Arabidopsis thaliana: one gene and its partners. The main gene of each other region encodes a partner of the protein of the gene in region 2 in a complex. Each region holds a gene or a part of one and is shown on either strand. Other genes may lie near its edges. The genes, in order: AT1G15770, MED31, AT5G02850 and AT5G63480.

Region 1 (4,895 bases), on a different chromosome or scaffold from region 2:
ACCTTCTCTCATCCACGAATACGGCCTCTCCTTCTCTCAGAACGAGCTCGAACACGAAGACATTTCTTACTTCGACCACGAATTTCTCCAGAGCATGGGAATCTCTATCGCCAAACACCGTCTCGAGATTCTCAAACTCGCTCGTCGAGATCGCAAGAACTCTCCTCCTCTCACCTCTCGTTCCATCTCCAGAGTCGTGACTGCGATTAAGAAAACCAGGAAATGTTTATCCGATCACGTACGCGCCTGGATCCGCCGTGAAGAAGAGTCGGCGTCGTCTCGAGCTCTGGTGTTGGTGCCGAAGAAGACTAGCAACGGGATTGGGAAGTGGAGAGGTGGATTCCTGAAGAGGAACAAGAGATCTGTGATGCCGAGCAATGGAAATGGTGGATTGGAGAAGCAAGAGAGGTTGTTGTTGACCAATGGGACTCCTTGTAGAATCGATAGCTTCTCAAGTCCCATGGTTTTCGATTACAGTTTCAAGGATGAGAAACTTTACGCTCAAGATACTTATTTTGAAGATATCAAATGGGATTCAATGTTTCAGAATCTCAAACCTACTTAGAAAAATCTCTAAGTTCTGTTTTATGTTTTCTCTTTCAGCTTCTTCTTCGTTCTTTATATCAGAATTGATGGTGAGAGATGAGGTTTTAGGGTTCTTCCACCATGTTTTCTTGATTTTGTCTTTGTATGTGATTAGGCTAGTTAATTTTTGTTAGTTAACAATTGGAAAATAGAGTTGAGTGGTGGTGTCAGGTGTGTATGTGAGTGTGTGGGGTCATTGTAATGAGTCTGTCTCTCCAGTCTTTGCTTTTGGCCTAAGTCTCTGTTCCAGTCAAAACTTCTTTACAGCTTTTATCACTTTTTACTCTTTTCTCAAAAAATGCTCTGTTTACACACATAACCATGACGCTAAGCCTGCCGGAGTGATCTTACTCTTGAGGTAATCGGAAAGATCTTGAGCTCAGGACACTACACAGTCTACACTAGAGCACACAAAACATTGTGCTTCCAAATTTTATCTGTTGTGTGTGTGTCAATTTTCAGATATACCTAAGGGAAGTGTAACTGAAAACCATACCTCAGTTCTTGGCTTCTTGCCACCACAAGTCACAGTAGATTCCATATCTGATGTTACCAAACCAGCAAAATGCTTGTAGCTATTACCAACGCTTTCCTCCCAATGAAGCAACACTTGATGGCATTGGGGTTGTCTGACGCTTCCTTTTCATGGTCGCCATCTTGCGTCATGAAGTTTCTTTCTTGGAGATGGCACTTAGTCATTGCAACCAAGTCCACACCAAATGAAGCTCTTGAACCTTTGCCTGGTACTGAACCAGCAATCCTATCAACCATGCTTACAACAGATCTAATATCACATACTGCAGACGAAAGCGCTTGTGGTGAGATGGATTTCATCTGAAAACAACAGAAAGCAAACATCAAGATCAGAACAATGTTTCCACGGCAAATGAGGGATGGCAGCAATGACACTGCCCTGTTGCAATATACCCTTCAAAATTAGTAACGTTACTTACGGCTCTAATAAGGCGTTCAATAGGCAGCTCAGTAGCACTCGATTTTCCACAAGTACTTGTCAAAGGATTTATAATATTTCCATCAGGACTGGTAAGCTCCGGAAGGAGAGGAGAGGCAGAGATCCCTGGAGTGCCAATTTCAAGGGATTGAAGTACACCTTGCCTGATCTGTTGTACCCTTGACCCAGCACCCTGCATGCTCATTGATTGCATCTGCAGAGTTGTTTGGTCATCATGAGACTGATCTTGAACTGTCTGAGATAGTGGTTGCTGCATAGGCTGAATCTCAGATTTCGTAAGCTGCAGTTTCTGTACTGTCTTCCTCAGACTCTGCATATTTAAGAAATTCATAATGTTGTTCTTGCGATAATCCATACTATCCTTCAAGTCAGGTTTGATATTGCTCTTTGAAAGAGATAGGAAACGTAGCATTCCCTCCAACACTGTCTTGCCTCGTTTCAATTTCTCAAACTGATCTGATCTTTGTTTCTGATGCGAAAGAGAATCCTCCTAGAGAGAAAACGGAACGTATTCAGTAGAAAAGAAACAAACATATAGATGAACGTTAAAAGTTTACAACCTCTGTAGGTTTGGGAAGGAATATATCTGTCAGAAGGTTAACTTCTAGTGAACTATCTGTAAGTATAAGAGTCTGACGAACCTTTTACTTTGTTAAATGGGTAACAAGAATCCTAAGTTGTAGGACTTTCATTTGTAACAATGAACTGATCTTGCATTGAATTTGTAAAACTCTTCATAAAGTACTTAGTACTGTTCCAGAGGACGTACACGTGCAAACTAACTTCCTAGGAAGAATGAAAACTGTAACTTACTTGCTGCAACTTGGCTGCTACTCTCTGGTAGATTTCATTGAGGTCTCTTTGATGGATTTGATCTACAAAGAAAAGCAATATAATCATACATACGATTACTCATCATGGTGATATCATCTAGTAACAGAGAGATGATCCTGCTAGTAACAAAGGAATAATCTGGTTGTCGTAGTAATCTTTCAAGTAAGGCATGACATTGCTTCTTTGAAACAGATAGGAATTGTATCATTCTTCGCTCCAACATTGCCTTCAATCTCTCAAATTGCTTTAATCTCTGTTGATGGGTAAAAGAATTCTGCATGAATTCAATAAGAAACCAAACCCTACCCTACTAGTTGACGGAACACTAAAGCACCCACCAAAAACACACCTAATCTCCGAGAAATTAACATTTACAAAAAAAAAAAGGGTCTTTATTCATTTTTCGATCATAACTTGATAGGAGGAGCCTGGTAGAAACAGAGCACCGGAGTCAACAACATTGAGGATGAGAGTTCAAAACACATCAGAAGAGAGAAGACCAACATAAAAAGAGAGAGAGACAAAATATCTACAATGCATTTCCTTGATTATTATGAGACTGATCTTGAAGCTGCCTTTGCTGTACTGTCTTCCCAGCCGGTTCTTAGCGTAATTAAGAAATATATAATCCGTTTCTCATAATAGTCCCATCTACAATCCTTTAATATCGGCATGATATTTCTCTTTCGAAGAGATAGGACTTGGATCAATTGCTCTATGTTTGTCTTCATGCTTTGGAACTTGTCAAAGTGCTTTGATCTTTGTTGCTGCGGAAGCGATTCCTCCTGAAAAAAACAAACAAACTAGTATTACTACATCTATACAACTTAAGGCAGAGAGTTAATAGTTGACAGTAACTACATCTTACATGGTTCAACTTGTCTGCAAGTCTCTGGTAAACATCAGTCACATGTGGTAGATAACGCTCTCTCATGGATCTAAGCTGTATAAACAATTACACACCACAATGAATGATCCCGATGATGATTTAAGAAAGGAGTTTTATTATTATGATGATTATGACTTATGAGTTACCTTTTGGAAAACCTCCTCCCGCCAATCATCTCCATTTTCATTTTCCATTGTATCTACTATCTAGTGTTGCTAGCCAAGAAAAATAATTAAAAAGCGAGATTCATTCATCATCAGAAACTGTGTAAAAAAAAATACAAAAACCTAAAATTAGAGGTACACAAGTATCATCAATCCATAAAACTAGTTTCTTATGCAAAAGGTTTTGCTATCGACGAATCCATGGGTTTACTATGACACGTAATGAGATAGGTGACTCAAAATAAGGACCTTTTGGCGATGAATCTCCGAGACTTAGAACGGTCCGTTTGGATTTGGTTTTTCTCCAAACGTTCTTACGTTTCAATCTTTCTTTTAATAAGTGAAACGTAGCAATTAGGGTTAAGGAGAAGAATTAGAGATGATTGTTTTTGTTTTAATCATCTTTTGATTTTATAGAGAAACAAACAAGAGAGAGCTAAATACAAGGATTAAAAGGCTTCAACAACATTACAATATCAGGTTATTAAGCGAGGCCCAATGACCCAATAATAAGTACTTATCAGGCCCAAGTCTCTTCTGCAAATAATAAGTTTTTTGGAGTTTTTTTAAGTTTTCTATTTCACACAGTAAAGGCTAAAAATCGAGTAAAGAGACTTGTAGAAAAACCAGTGAAATCTCCGGCTATTTGTGTGACCAAAATGTTAATTATAGTCATTAACTAAATAAATCTCGTTCATGTACTAATTTGTATAGACAATTACACACCACACTGATCACTCCTTGTATCTTCTAACTTGATGACTTTATGATGATAAATCATCAATAATTACAATAAAAAAGTTAGCCATTTGGTATATACAAAAAAAAAAAAATGTTTCAAACAGCCATTTTATTGTGACAACTGAACAGAGTAAAGAAGTTGAAACTCTTCTGAACGATCTCAAAATGCGTATTACAACAAATCTCAAAATACAACATTCAGCAAGACCCCAAAAAAGGGGTAATTGCACTTCAGAATTAGAAGAAAATGACGAATATACTAACAAGATTCACAAAATACATACAATAAAGTTAAAATAATATTATTTAAATATATTCAATAATATAGCATAAGCTTTTGCAAACAGATAACAAAAAATCCCAATCACGTGTGTGGGAAAACAACTTATACTATACAACAAAAAGTGAGGAAAAAACTTTTTGGCTTTTTTTCTTTAGTTTTGACATGAACCTGCAAGTGAATCACAGAGCTGCTATTGAAGACGAGAGAGATCCGTCAGATTCAGGAAGCTGCTACATATTTCTCCCAAGTGCCGTATTTTGAGCTGAAAGTTCCACCGCCAAATTGCTGTGCGTACTCACAGATCACTGCCCGAGCACAGGCGTCCCATGTCTTGGCTATGTCTTTGAGCGACATCGGCTGTGACAAACTTCTTAGCAATATGTTGAACCTTGCCATAGCTTTGGACGACAGGTCCTCGTTTTCTTT
Region 2 (5,077 bases):
AAAAGTCGAAGCAAGTCGATAGATAGATCAATGGACAAGAGATTAATCTGAGTGCTGACGAGTGGAATTTTTACAAAACAAACCACAGATCAAACAAAAAAAAAATTACAGACAGATCAAACAAAAAAGCCAACAAGAGAAACACTAGGATTGGGATTTTTCGTAATTAGAATTTTGTTTGTTAAGTTTTTAAGATGAAGTTTTAGGAGTTTGAGAATCTTTGTTGTAATTTTGGATCTGGAAACTTTTTTTTTTTGGTTTGGGCAGAAGAAAAATAAATTAAAGGCAAAGAGAACCTCTGTGTACGAACGGCAGAAGAGATGATGAGATTCTTTAAATAGAGGCGACGAAAAGATGCCAAGTCCTAATCAACGATGGAGATGCGACACGTTTAAACCGACGGCTGAGATTATGTTTATATTTAAAGGGTAGAGTCGGTTACGGTTTTCTTTGATATTATTATTATTATTAGTTAGAAATATTTTAAATCATAAACCTAATCACTTGATAATTTGGCAAAATATTATTCAACCTTTTTCTGCTAAAGTTAATTTAACTTTAATATCAAAATTCATATTTGGACGTTCTACTTTAGGTAACTATGTTTTTTGCCTCTTTTTTTCTCTTGATGATGGTATTTTAATTATAATTTTAGAGAAAAGTGGACTATTTCCAAAATTTGGTTTTGATTGCAATCACACATTAGCCCCAAAATTTGGACTATATTAACAAACCTCCCTATAATTAATCATTCAATGGAGAAGAATCTCAACATTTTAAGGTATCAAAGTCATTTCTAATCCATAAGTGTTCATGTTCTTCTTTTATTCATATCCTTGAGTTATGCTATTTTCTTCTCCTTTCTTGAACCGTGAGTTACGTTATACGAGTTTCATCACATATCAAGTTTCGTATACCATGGTCCATAGCACACTCTGTCATGTTTGGGTCTTCTAACTGTTGTCAAAGATACGTCAAAGAGTCATTTCGTACAATTTCCACCAACAAGTGCAACATGGAAACCCCACTCCTAATTAATGTTTTACCGGCAGAAGCAATCTCTGCCAAGGACAAATGTTTGGCATTCCCATAATTTTTCCTATTGCTTCTAAGCTTCTCAAAAAAAATAAAGTGTTGCAATTGTCAAGATCGATAGGAACAAAGATAAAGACTGATACTGATTGGGGGTTGTTGTATATCATAGACAAAGATTGAACACCATATATGACAACTTCCATAAACGGCCTATGACACGGAATGAGTAATACCGAGTTTCCAACATTTTTGTAACCTGAGTCAAGTAGGCTTCCCTCCTAGGACATGGAGGAAACCATATCTGACGACTGACGCCATGGTGTATGCTTCAGGGCAGGAAATGCTTATATACCCTTCCTGACATTATATGACTCACATATTAGAGTGTTGCTTTTTTTCGTAACACATTTGCAGTCATCTTAAAAACACACACAAAATGGTCATCATTATCAAGAAGAAGAAAGGAGCACATACTTTCTCTTCCTACGATCAATTCCAGTAGCACCCATATTCCTAGTGTCATTCTTAGAAAGCATATTATTGTACTGCATTGGAGAAAGGGCTGGAGAGAGAGCAGCAGTTGCAGATGGTGCAGGTGGCAAAGAAGTTGAAGGTGCAACTGGTGGTTGTGGAGGTACAGGCTCTGGAAGAGGCCGAGGTAGAATGTGCTTCAGTCTGTTGTTTCTGTAGTTCTTCCAATAGTAAAACTGTTGTCTATGCGCCAATTCCTGGAAAAATCCAGATTCAACCGAAGACAAAGTTCAAAACTTAAGAAAACTTCAACAACAATAGATTTCCTATAAGAAATTCTGACAAAGGACATAAAGTTTAGAATATTAAACAACTTTCTCTATCTCATGAATAGATGGGCATAAACGCAGAATCACAGAACCAAACTAGCAGAACGTAAGCAAGGTTTTGTACTAGAGAGACCCTAAACTCTACAAGTCCCCAAAACACATTCCAAAAACACCAGTACCCTAACATTTTGAACCACTCCCTATTCACAATGCTCACTAACATGCTGATTTCACTTGATGATTCATATCGTATTCTTGTACCTTGTTTGCAGGATGAGCCATAGCAGTCCTGAAGTTGGGGTTTTGAAGAAGTTCAAGGAAATATAGGCAGTGTGGGTACCTGTAACAAGAACATAGGAAACCAAAGATATATTATCCAAACCTTCACAAGACTCTACAAGACTACACCAATTCCATAAGATATTCCAACTTACATAATGAACTTGATGTACTCTGGTCGCTGCCAGTATTGAAGATACTTCAAGTATCCAATAAATGCTTCATCTTCAAAATACCGATTCTGTGCCAGGTCTGCCAAACAGTAACCAAAAGCAGAATGTGGTAAGTACAAACCCTAAGCCTTAGAACAAATCCCTTTTTAAATCTCAATTTCGAACACTAAAACCCTAAGCCATAGAACGAATTCTAAACTTACAGTGGATGTAAGTAGGATTGGCGAGACATTGAATAAATTCAAGTTCCAGTAAGAATCGTTGCCTTCCACCGTCGGGATCCTTGTAAGTGTTTTTTGGCCTGTAGAGATGCGAATTAGATAATAAAAGAGCAGATTTGAAGAATATGAAAGTGTACAAGAGGAAGAAGATGCACTCACGGGGATGGAATTTCTGATGCATCATCACCCATCTCCTCTGGCGAAGCCATGAACGAACGGAACCTGAAGCAAATTTGGATTCTCCCAATAGAGGAATCAGACGGAGGTAGACGGAGGATTTTGGTTCTGATTTCTGAATTGAATTTTGGTTATAAACCAAAGGCCTAAACCGGTTCTGAATGCAAATAGAAAAAGAGATTGGAAAATTAGTACAAAATTACGGTTTAAGAAGCGGTCTTTTTTTTTTTTTTTCCACAAGAAGCGGTCTTAAAAGAACCGTTATACTCGGTAGCAGATGGAGAAGTCTCTGCCCAAACTTGGAGTTACTTTACATTCAAAGATTCACTTGGTGGCATTTTTAGTCATGTTATGAATCTCTTTCTTACTTATCTCAAGATTATGAATCACAAGGACAAATCTTGAATTTTGAAACATGGACCGGAATCTTTATGCAATCATACAAAAGTTTTTTTGTGACCAATCGATATAGATGTTGCAACTCTTTGTCATGCTAACTATGGTTGAGGATTATAGCAGACAGAAAATCTGAGGACATTTGGCTCCAATGAGTTGGCCCTCAAAAATGTATACTGTACATTGTAATGTTGTAATCCCCGCAAAATGTGACAGCTAAAAAGCTAGAGTTTCCCACAGTTAAAAAAAAAAATCAAAAGACAAGAGCCATCAGACCCTGGACTGACCTATGCAACTCCCAAGACAGTTTTCGTATCCAGCCTGCGTGCTGTACTCAGTTCTTACTTGCCAATCAACACCTTGTGCCAACTTGCCAAGACAAGTTCTGTTTCAGAAGTTAATGGCCTTCAAATTCAGGTGATGGCTTTACAAGTTTTCACCATAGCTTGTGAATCCCAATTGCTAAATCTGATGAGATGGAGACGAGCAGCGGATAAGAAGAGTGCCACTCGGCTTTGAACACTCTTTTCTTATGAGCTTTCATCGAGAGAGACGGGCTCGGTGCATTGTATCGGATATCAAAGATGTGGATCACGGGGTCTGCAGAACCAGATGAGATGTGTAAACCATCTGGAGACCAAGACTGATTAATTAGAGCCGACTGCGATTCACTGCTTTCTTGCTTCCACCCAAAAGAAAATAGTTCTGTCTGAGGCAATCTAACATCATACAACCGCAGTTGCCGGTCTAGCTGCCTGCAAACACAACACAAGCAAAAGAACGGACTTTAAGGCAATCGCTTCTTCTGGGATATATATAAATCAAGAGTCAGTTTTACCTCGTGTTAACCATGACAAGATTAACATCTCGCGGGTTTGGCATTATATTTGTGCATCTGTTGTCTAGTCTATGTTTAAATGTGACTTTTTCTTCTCGGGCATCAAACCCAACAAATCTCCTATCGTCTCCACATGACAAGACGTGATTGTTATGGCGCATTCCAGTAACTCCCATCACAGCCGACGAATGCAAGTCCCTATGCAGAAGCGTCGGCTTCCACGCATTATTCTCACACTGATCCCGCCATAACACTACTGCATGGTCACTCCCACCTGTGATGAAGCAAGGATCATCCCAAGGCGTAAACATGATTCTGTTGATAAGACCTTTGCTATGAGGCCTGTCCTCCATAAATTGCGACTCACATCTCTGCAGATGAACAGATATCCAAAAAGAAATGAGCACATAACTAACTTCCCCAAGGATAAAAGACTATAACCATCAAGTTAGATCTTACAACTAGTAGATAAGTCAAGGGTCGAATCAAATTCCCAATTATTCCAGCTATATTGATTTTTTTCTTTCTAACAGGTTATGAAGACCAAGTTAACTTTCTACAAGTTTAAGCACACACTCCACTCATGAATGTCCAATCGCAAATTTAATATGGTAAAACGCTAGAATGTGCTACAGCATTCATATACTTTTACCTCTCCAGCTTCATTCAGATATATGGCTGATATCTGAGGGTGACCATCATCTGCAGTATACACGGAGAAAAGTGCATTCTTATGTGGATGCCAAGCTATATCTTCTGCCCATTTCTTCTGATCTACTGCTACCCGATTAACCGTCTTAAACAAAGTAGCGGTGGACCTGCTCAATGGTGAAAGCATGATGGATAGGTTAGTATCCAACGAAATTCAGATTAAAATGTTCACGAAAATAAGAGTAGAAAAAATTGTACAAAACTCTATCTCTTAAGATCATGTACAACTAAACGTTGCAGCTTGTTGACAAATATAAGTGAAACTAAATTTCGCCTACTTATCACGTGGATGGATGAAGGTGATGTCAACTGGAACTAGAAATACATAATTAAAATTTCTGATACATATGAAAATCAAGGAATTCTATATGGATTTGAAGTTGAATAATCCAATAACCCCTCCTAAAACCATTTAAACCCCCAAGAAATCAGAAAGAAATATCATAA
Region 3 (5,213 bases), 6.1 Mb from region 2:
TAACTAAACCCAGCAGCCTTCATTTCTTCAAAAACCTGAGCAGCTTCCTGATGCAAAGAGCCTCGTTTACAACAAGTTATAAGAGTGTTGTAAGTATACGCATCCGGAGCAATCCCATCACTCTTCATCTTCTCAACAAGAGACGTAATCTTATTCCAAGGAGTACCCATTTTCCCAAACACATTCAAGATAACATTATACGTTATCAAAGTCGGTTTACAACCATCTTCCTCCATCTTCTTGAACACATTTACAGCTTCCCTATACCTTCCGCTATTAGCAAACGCTGATATCAACGAAGTATAAGAGTAGACATCAAGCGAAAACCCGTCTTCCTGCAAACCATTGAACATATTTGCAGCGGAAGATACTCTGCCTTCTTTACCTAGCATACTGATGATTATAGCAACAACAGAGTTATCCAACATGGATTGATAATCCTTTTGCTTCATAAACCAATCAAAAGCACGCAGAGCCAAATCGAATTTCTTATGAAATCCTAATCCTTTAAGAAAAGCTAGTAACTCCGACGAGGTAGACTCTGGTTTATCCTTAAAAGGCTCGAATAGCTCAGAGAGTACAGAATCTAATTGACCGGAATCAAAATTGGGTTCGATGAGGGAACGAAGAACTTGCTGACCTTGTGGAGAAAGACCATGGTAAGACCAAGGTTTACCGAGGTTAGGGTCACGTGACTTGCCAATTCGAGTCCGGTTACGGTTTCTAGATGTTTGAGAGCTGATGGGTTGTCTGGAATTAGGGTTCTGGTGAAGGAAAACATCGTGGAGGAGAGGCTCTACAGGCGGAGGAGGTGGTGACGAAAGAGACGTAGTAAGAAAAGGCGTCCGAGAGATATGGTGGTTTTGGTCGTGAGAATAAGGTTTAGAGGAAGGAGTGCAGGGAAGGAGAAGAGGAAGAGCTAGCTTGTCCGCCATTAGAGGTAGTAGTAGTAGTAGAAACTAGAAAAGAACCAGGAGGCAACCGAGAGTGAAAGAAGAAGAGAAATGAATGGATATTTTTGTCAGATTTTTTTTATTATATTTTTTTGTTCCAAGAACACAATTTTAGTTTTATTTCCCTACAATTATATTCGACCACGTGGCTAGTCCAGATTCAACAGGTTAGATCTAAATGGGCTACTACTTATTTTGTCAACCCATTATATTATTAGAAGCCCAAATGGAACAATAAACTGTACAATAAAGAAATGGGCAGAAAGAGCCTCTGATATGTATGTATGACCTAAGAGGGATTTTACTTTGTCGTATAGAGAGATCGATCCAAAATGTCAAGTTGCATAACTCCAATAGTTGAACATTCTGAATTTTACTAATAATTTGAAATTTGAAGCTAAAGAATGATTCTGGAAAAAAGATAACCAATAATTCTGTAAACTGAATTAGAATCCAGGGTTTTCGTAAGAAACAACTTTGATACATCAAAGATACTGATAACGATGAAGCATATACTAACATCTATCCACATAAAGGCACTGCTAAACAAAACGAAACCAAGTAGAAAATCAAACTTGATCAAGAATTAGCAGTAACATTGGTCAAATCATTACCTTACAGAGAACCATCAATCACAATGTTGATTAATCCTCATCATCTGAGCTTGCATCATCGCTGCTGTAATCACTGCTATCATCATCCTCCAAAATGTCAAGTTGAACAGCTCGGACCTGTATGACATCAGGCGGTCTGTGGAGTCCCTGAGAAGGTCTCATATGTTGATGATCCTCTGCTCTAGGTGCAGCAATTGACTCCAGTGGCGGTAACACAACTGGGTCGCCTGGTTTCCATCCAGGAGGTGGCAATGGTAAATCTCTAGGCAATTCGACTGGCATTCCTGGTTTCCATCCTGAAGGAACTGCGATATTCGGCGGAAGCAGGTTGTGAATAGCAGATATATCCATAGCTTCTGGTGGTGGTGGTGGCTCAATCAGTGCTTCAACCTTCTTCTCCATGTTTTCTACTGTTTTCGGCAGACCGATATCAAGATCAGCGAAAGTGTAGAGCTGGGAAGCTCTCATTTGTTCGTCTTGTGGAGCTGGTGGTAATGCACCACGGAGAGGTGCTTGCCCTGCACCGAATTCCGGCGGAGCAAATGTGGTGTAGCTAATCTTGTGAGCGTAAGCTAATATGTCCTTTAACTTGAGCTGAGACGAAACTGTGGTTGAAGAAGAAGAAGACTCATTATCATTGTCTTCGTCATCTTCTTCAATTTTGCTTCGTTTTGGTTTGCGGTAATCGGAGTAGTCGTCAACAAGCATATCGAGAACACGTTCTGCATCCTTGAGTTTGTTAGCGAAAGCGAGAAGAGATGAATCTTTGGATTTGATCTCACGCGCCACCTTCTGCTTCGCGTCTTGCAGATCGAGGATCTCTTGAAGCTCTGTAACGGCTTCGAAGAGCTGAGTCTGGAGGGAATTGAATTGAGAGAGGATCTCCTTCGTGGATGAAGGACTAGGGTTTTCAAGCGGCGGCGGAGGTGGTAACGAGTGTGAGGAGAGGAACGAAGGGAGAGAGCCACGGAAAGCTGAGAGCCAGATAGCTCGATTGGGAGAGACGTCGAAGAGCTTAGATGTCAAAACCGCCATCTGCTGGAGAAGAGCTTGAGCTCGCGGTAATGGAGGAAGGAGCGATAGCAAGGCGGAGGATGAAACAGCCGCCGAAGCTGAGGCTGAGGAAGCGGCGGCGACGGTGGAGGAAGGAAGTAGATTAGGCTGTTGTTGGATCTGTTGGTGCTGAGATTGGGAAGATGAAGAAGAGGTTGGATGGCCATGACGAGTAGGCGTCGGATTTTGTACGGAAGGAGAGCCAGGACCTGTTAACCCTAATCTCGCCGGAGATTGTACGATCTGATGCTGTAGCATCTTCGCCGACGGCGAAAGAATCTCTTAAATCGAAGATAATTAAAGAGACGAAGCTTCTCTTCTCTGTTTAGTGTTCAACTGTTTATACAAAATTCGCAAACCCTCAGTATCAATTAGAAAAGTCTAAAGACCCGCTAAAACCATACCGATACGGTTCAATTTCCTAATTACCATTAACCTGGCTTTCGAACAATTGTTATTGACAATAACAGAGACGAATCATGGACGTTAACGCTTGATACAAGTGCAATACAACAGAGTTATGTATCTCACTTCCGAGTTAAGTAACAATTTGCTACTGTGTTACATAGCTTTTGGTTAAACAGATAACCAGAAAATAACCAATCAGAGAACGAGGTAAAGAAACTTACATATTACAAAAGGCATGAAAAAATAATTATCAAAAAGAAGATACAATTGGTAACCATTTTCTACACACACATACATATATCTACCATTCACACGACTGGTTCTGACCGAAACTGCATATGTTCCTCTTGTTTGTGACGACGACTCAGTTATGTTCTCCTCAGACAACAACCGTAGAATGCATCTGACACAATCCACCATATACAGAGATCAATAGCAATTTGGTAGACCGTAAGAGCAATATTCTTAAGACCTTAAGGGTAGTGTAATCAGAATAATAGCAGCAACGCTGAGAATATAACAGTTATGATCTACAGATCATTCTTATTATGACGTTCGATCATGTGAGACAATAACTACAGTAACAAATGAGAAACATTAAGGTGAAAACCTTAGTGAACTGTGGTGTTAGGTTTCGATATAATCTATTAAGTCAATGCGAACGTTCTTATTATAGTGTTTTATATTGGTGTCGGAGGGATGCGGTATAACACCAAACTTACTTGATAGCTGGTAGAGAGTTGTTGCGAGCAAGAAGTCGTCAAGAAGATATATAACTTGTTGAGTGCACAAACAGCTAAGAGCTTAAGTGTTCATGACCTTCCTCTGCAGCATCAACATATTCAGACTAAATTATGGTTAGATTATATCTCATAGAGCACAACAATCCTCATTTAATCATTGGAACGGTTAAAAACATAACACACTAAAGGCGAACTAGTCTTAATTTCTATAGTTAAACTTCAAGGCAGATAGTAAGTAGGTTTGTTAGCTGTTAGAGACTTTTTCTCACTCATTCTTATCACGAAAAGACAAATGTGCCTCACATACTCAACGAGCACAGAAGTAATGATAAAATTATAACTTACAGTAGGTTCAAAGTCAGGGTTTGACAAGTTCACTGTGAGGTTTCTCATCAACAGCAAAACCTGCAAGAAAAACTGTGATTAGTGACGGATACTAGGAAAAAGAACAATCACTGACAGCTACAAATAGGTACCATGACACCTAAAACTGACTCATGGTTGTAACAATCCCATTATTTGACCAACATCTCCATAGAATCATGGTACTTTGGCTTTTTGGTGTTTCCAACTCGTGAATCTATATATTGCAAGTACTGATCTTTATATTTATCTTCTCACACAGCTGAATTTATTCGGGAACTCAAAGAAGAAGACTAAATGATTGATATGCTGCAACACACATATCAGTTAATCTAAAGGCAAGTAAAGCTCCAACTCACAGTTTCGAAATTTATAGGATCCATTTCCTTGAGCTTTTTCATGCGGCCTTTGCTGTCAGGATCGAACACACTCCCAATGAAGTTATAAACCTCAGCAAAATCAGGAAGACCTGCAAAGCAACCATTACAACAGCGTCCACCACAAAATGAAAACTAAGAAATAGTCCCTCAATTGTTCAGATAATTACCATGCATTGAGGGAGCTTGTTTCGCCAGTCTCAAACCCTTAGAATCTGATAGTGTTCTGCTTGAGCTTCCGATACCAGATGCTGAAGGACTAGTTTCACTTATCATGTCATTTGATCCAACATCAACTGAAACAATGATATGTAAGCCGCATTTAGCATATGAAAACTTCAGAAGATAGAGTGACTAGACTACCAAAGCAAAATATAAAAACTGAGTACAGATGAGAACGCATGCCTTCTGCTCCACAAAGAGTATCAAGTTCATCTTCTGGTGGAATAACCCCACTTACAGCAATGTTTAACAATGCAGATGTATCATCATCCCATGGAGTATATCCAGGCAGGTTATTTATTTGAGTAGGAAAGGACATGGAAACGTGAAGCGACATTTGAGCTGCAGATTTGAGTTGAAATCAGATTGATTACATGTTACTCCATCTGTCAACCCAAAGTAATATCTATTACAATAGAACTAACCATTTTTCGATGCCTTTTGAGGATATGGATGAGCAGCTTTGCGCTTAGGCCTAGG
Region 4 (4,577 bases), about 19 Mb from region 2:
GGCTGAAAATCTTCCTCCATCTGAGACTCTAGTGGAAACGGTAAGATTAAAAGATTAGTCTCCAGGGTCTTGTATTATTCAACCATCTTAGACTCTTATTTCCAGCTTAGTGATAGTTGCTCCTTTTTCCTGAATTTAACCATTTGTTCGTATTCATTAATGCATAGGTTATGACTCAGAATCCAGAATCTACGATAGTTGACACACCAATTGTTGAAGCTCTACACATCATGCACGAGGGAAAATTCTTACACCTTCCCGTTACTGACAAAGGTGAGAATTCTGAAACCTTTTCAATTGTAAAGTCTTACAAAAACTAAAAAGGCAAACGCATGTAAACCATAAATGGGTTTCTGATTGCAGAAGGAGATGTAGTTGCTGTTGTCGATGTAATCCATGTCACTCACGCTGCTGTTGCCACAGTAACTCCCATCTCTTGAACCGTCTGTAAATTTTTTCGTTTAGAACATCCACTGTTCTCTTTTTTCTAGATACATGTTTCAATCTTGTAGTTATTTTGATGTGTTCAGGCTGGAACTACTGCGGGAATAGGTAATGAGGCGACAAACACAATGATGCAAAAGTTTTGGGATTCAGCTATGGCATTGTCTCCTAATGAGGACGATGAGGACTCGAGAAGGTTATTAGCTAGTCTTACTTGTTCCACTATTTATCGAGTTTCTTTTCAAAGAAAGCTTTGGTTTTGCTGACTTTGTTGACAACATGGGGAACAATTTGTTTCAGTGAGAGCTCCATGAAGGTTGCTTCCGAAGCTGAGACAGGAAAATCTTTCCCTTTTGCAAATACATTTTCTTTCAAAATTGAAGACAAAAAGCACAGGAAACACAGATTCATAAGCGGTAAAAATAATTTTGATTTTTATTCATCAAGTAAATAGTTGTAGTCTTGCTTTTACTTAACTGAATTGGTTCTTTTTGCAGACACTCGGAGTTTGACAGAGGTGATAACCGCGATCATTCAGAGGGTAGGGGATGATATCGATCCAGATAACTTCCCCCAAATTTTGGTAAATATTTTCTTTTACATAAAGACTATGATGCAATCATTATCTAATTCTTCTCTTGTCACCCCCTGAATTGTTAAAATGATGGTTATAATGTGCAGTATGAAGATGAAGACCACGATAAAGTGTTGTTGGCTTCAGATAGTGACCTTCAAGCAGCCATAGAGCATGCAAAATCAATTGGCTGGAAGGTAAAAAGAACGATTTCCTCCTGCTTTAAACTTTTGGTTGATAAGCAACAAGAACCAAAGTCGAAGATGAAACCTTCATGAGATTGCCCATAAACCCCTTTTGCTTTCTGAATTGATTTGATCATTATAAATTGCAGAGTCTGAGATTACATTTGGATGATTCAAGAGAAGGCAAAGGAAGAAGAAGGAGAAGAGCATCAGGATCAGCAGAATCAATGGAGTATGTAGAGACAGACGCTTGGGCTGCTGCTTATAGTGGAGTTGCGGCTGGTGCAGCATTAGTAGCTGGTCTTGGTTTTATGGCTTTTCTCAGAAAATTCGGTCATTGATTCCTCAGAAACACTACAAGAAGTGTTTCTTTAACAGATCAATACAAACAAAAAAGAAAAACAGACACAGGGTTTGAAGGTTTTGTCTGAAATATTTTTATATACAAAAGTCATTTTTGATTATTTTTTTGGCTTCATGATATCAAAATAACAAATATCTAAAACTAATACATGGAGTAATTCAAGAACAAGGCTTAGAATCTTTGTCTAAACTGATCTCACTATTGTCAAAAAAATAAAACTCAAACAGAACAAGGGCTTTGCCATGTAGAGATATCTGCTATAAGTTCCCGAAGTTTATCTATAAGTTCTTTAACATGAACATTCTTCTTTGCAATCTCCTGCATGAACAAAAGCTTCCGTTTATTAATGCCAACAGAGAAGAACAATATAATCACTTCCCATAAGGTTATTAACATAGAAATCAAAATGACCAGATGGCTGAAATGTATTCAAAAAATTATCAACATTTCCATGGTTCTAGAACCGCTTAAGCTATAATGATACAAACACTTACACTAGACAGTGGGAAAGAACACTTTATACAAGAAAATATGAATCAAATTCAATGCTATGTGAGTTGAAATGTACAGAGAATTCGAGACTGAATAGTGTATCAATGTAGTAACATCAGATTGAAAACAAAGAGATGTAGAAATTGCAGAAAGCTTTACCATTCTGAGACTTAAGGCTTGCTCCTCCAATTTTTCGATCTCGTCTTCACTTTCAGGAGATCCTAAACCATTTTGCATTTCAGATGCTTTTGCCTGTAATAGATGAACAAATTCAAATTTATGAAACCTCAAAAAAGCTCTCATTTAAAATTAAGCAAGTTCACTACAAGTGAAGAACAAGACACTCAACAAGCATTAGATCCTTCATCTAAACTCTCTATCGATTCGAAGATTTCCTAATCTAAGATCTCAAAACACCCTAGGAATTCAAAATTTCCTCAGTCCAGAAACAACTCAGAACAAAACACTTCTCGAAATAGTTAGTAACATCACATTATGTTCAATACCTTCTGCGAATTTGGAATCGCAGCAAGAACAGCACGAAGCGAAGTCACTGAGTTCTTATACCGAAGACTCGCCTCATCCAAAACACTATTTCCACTTCCTCCGCCCCCGCCACCACCAGCAGATTCCGAATGATGCGATGTTCCATCAATCGCAGCCGCATCGGCGGAAACGAGAGCCGAACCATTAGAACCCGTCGTCGTCGCGGCGGAACTCGGGGTAGCTGAAGTAGACCACAAAGACGGATTACAAAGCTCATCATTCATGGCTGAAATTATCTGAAACGCCGCTTCAATAGTTTCTTCCAATTGCTTCTCTCCTTCCATCGCTAGCTCCTGTGTCGTCATCGTCGTCGTCGTCGAGACCTGTTTCTGCAGCATCACCGTGAACACACTTTATCACGGCGTCGGTTGACTAAACTATTAATACGATGTCGTTTTAATCAAACTATATAATATATATATCAATAATATAGTTTTTATAGATAAATAAAAATAGAAAGAAATCAGCTACATCGCTGTCTACCTTATCCACTATTACTCCAATCCATATGACAAAAACTATCTAAAACGTTAGTTTGATCTTTTGATCCAATCACAAGGCAAAGATCCAATGGACAATAACAACAACAACAACAACCAGCAACCACCACCAACCTCCGTCTATCCACCTGGCTCCGCCGTCACAACCGTAATCCCTCCTCCACCATCTGGATCTGCATCAATAGTCACCGGAGGAGGAGCGACATACCACCACCTCCTCCAGCAACAACAGCAACAGCTTCAAATGTTCTGGACATACCAGAGACAAGAGATCGAACAGGTAAACGATTTCAAAAACCATCAGCTCCCTCTAGCTCGTATCAAAAAAATCATGAAAGCTGATGAAGATGTGCGTATGATCTCCGCCGAAGCACCGATTCTCTTCGCGAAAGCTTGTGAGCTTTTCATTCTCGAACTTACGATTAGATCTTGGCTTCACGCTGAAGAGAACAAACGTCGTACGCTTCAGAAAAACGATATCGCTGCTGCGATTACTAGAACCGATATCTTCGATTTCCTTGTTGATATTGTTCCTAGGGAAGAGATCAAGGAAGAGGAAGATGCAGCATCGGCTCTTGGTGGAGGAGGTATGGTTGCTCCCGCCGCGAGCGGTGTTCCTTATTATTATCCACCGATGGGACAACCGGCGGTTCCTGGAGGGATGATGATTGGAAGACCGGCGATGGATCCTAGCGGTGTTTATGCTCAGCCTCCTTCTCAGGCATGGCAAAGCGTTTGGCAGAATTCAGCTGGTGGTGGTGATGATGTGTCTTATGGAAGTGGAGGAAGTAGCGGCCATGGTAATCTCGATAGCCAAGGGTAAGTGAATTCTAGTAATATTCAGCAATGTAGCTTGTTGCAATTGATTATCTATGGTTATTGAGATTCTTCATGAGCTTGCTTTGATTAGTCTTAGAGGAATTTGCTGCTCTGTGTCATCTTCATTGATTCTCATCAAATAAGCTAAAAATTGATAATATCAAAGAAGCTCAATTTACAGTATCATCTGGCTCATTTCTTTAGATTCATAAACAAAACTTTGTAAAATACACAATTTTGATATCCATTATTTGATTTGACTCACACCTTTGATTATTTGTACAATGTTGTGCAGTTGAGCTATGGAACCAGAAGCTTAGAGATTTAATCATCATTTCGACCCTGCAAGTGTCTGATTCTTATATGTCTATGATTCGAATGACTTACTCGAGAGAGAGAGAGAGATCAAACAAAACAAAACAAAAAAGCTCTTTTTCATTTTTCCTGTTAACTTATAAGTTATTGCAGCAAAACTGCAGACTTGCTTAACTATATATTAATCTAAATGTGCAGATTCTAATCTATGCTTTGTATTTTTGTTGATTCTTGCTCCTAATCTAGTAATGATCAGAGCTTATGTATGGCATATTGAGTTTGTATTTCATGGCTTGTAGTAGCTTTGAGTTCTCTGTCTCTTATAATAACTTCTTACT

Evidence for each region.
Region 1: MED31 (region 2) and AT1G15770 share a complex: the UniProt entries of both Arabidopsis thaliana proteins name them as parts of the mediator complex.
Region 3: MED31 (region 2) and AT5G02850 share a complex: the UniProt entries of both Arabidopsis thaliana proteins name them as parts of the mediator complex.
Region 4: MED31 (region 2) and AT5G63480 share a complex: the UniProt entries of both Arabidopsis thaliana proteins name them as parts of the mediator complex.

Annotation. Positions count from the first base shown.
Region 1 is NC_003070.9:5,425,758-5,430,652, forward strand, and holds AT1G15770 (mediator of RNA polymerase II transcription subunit), read right to left. Parts: upstream 2,524-4,895; 5' UTR 2,459-2,523; coding exon 2,372-2,458; intron 2,049-2,371; coding exon 1,539-2,048; intron 1,420-1,538; coding exon 1,135-1,419; 3' UTR 951-1,134; downstream 1-950. Other genes in the region: AT1G15760 (Sterile alpha motif (SAM) domain-containing protein), read left to right, coding at 1-565; AT1G15772 (mediator of RNA polymerase II transcription subunit), read right to left, coding at 2,944-3,177, 3,261-3,335, 3,428-3,475; NRB4 (mediator of RNA polymerase II transcription subunit 15a-like protein), read right to left, coding at 4,765-4,895. UniProt on the Arabidopsis thaliana protein: Component of the Mediator complex, a coactivator involved in the regulated transcription of nearly all RNA polymerase II-dependent genes.
Region 2 is NC_003076.8:6,730,105-6,735,181, forward strand, and holds MED31 (SOH1 family protein), read right to left. Parts: upstream 2,887-5,077; 5' UTR 2,718-2,886; coding exon 2,668-2,717; intron 2,589-2,667; coding exon 2,491-2,588; intron 2,367-2,490; coding exon 2,270-2,366; intron 2,176-2,269; coding exon 2,097-2,175; intron 2,032-2,096; coding exon 1,942-2,031; intron 1,764-1,941; coding exon 1,510-1,763; intron 1,393-1,509; coding exon 1,380-1,392; 3' UTR 1,132-1,379; downstream 1-1,131. Other genes in the region: AT5G19920 (Transducin/WD40 repeat-like superfamily protein), read right to left, coding at 3,518-3,836, 3,920-4,290, 4,572-4,737. UniProt on the Arabidopsis thaliana protein: Component of the Mediator complex, a coactivator involved in the regulated transcription of nearly all RNA polymerase II-dependent genes.
Region 3 is NC_003076.8:649,824-655,036, reverse strand, and holds AT5G02850 (hydroxyproline-rich glycoprotein family protein), read right to left. Parts: upstream 2,990-5,213; 5' UTR 2,879-2,989; coding exon 1,598-2,878; 3' UTR 1,274-1,597; downstream 1-1,273. Other genes in the region: AT5G02860 (Pentatricopeptide repeat (PPR) superfamily protein), read right to left, coding at 1-935; LCL1 (LHY/CCA1-like 1), read right to left, coding at 3,825-3,875, 4,117-4,176, 4,494-4,603, 4,682-4,807, 4,917-5,075, 5,159-5,213. UniProt on the Arabidopsis thaliana protein: Component of the Mediator complex, a coactivator involved in the regulated transcription of nearly all RNA polymerase II-dependent genes.
Region 4 is NC_003076.8:25,415,683-25,420,259, reverse strand, and holds AT5G63480 (mediator of RNA polymerase II transcription subunit), read right to left. Parts: upstream 3,012-4,577; 5' UTR 2,944-3,011; coding exon 2,566-2,943; intron 2,312-2,565; coding exon 2,219-2,311; intron 1,886-2,218; coding exon 1,787-1,885; 3' UTR 1,625-1,786; downstream 1-1,624. Other genes in the region: AT5G63490 (CBS / octicosapeptide/Phox/Bemp1 (PB1) domains-containing protein), read left to right, coding at 1-40, 168-273, 364-422, 531-640, 745-860, 942-1,027, 1,126-1,215, 1,353-1,544; NF-YC4 (nuclear factor Y, subunit C4), read left to right, coding at 3,176-3,928. UniProt on the Arabidopsis thaliana protein: Component of the Mediator complex, a coactivator involved in the regulated transcription of nearly all RNA polymerase II-dependent genes.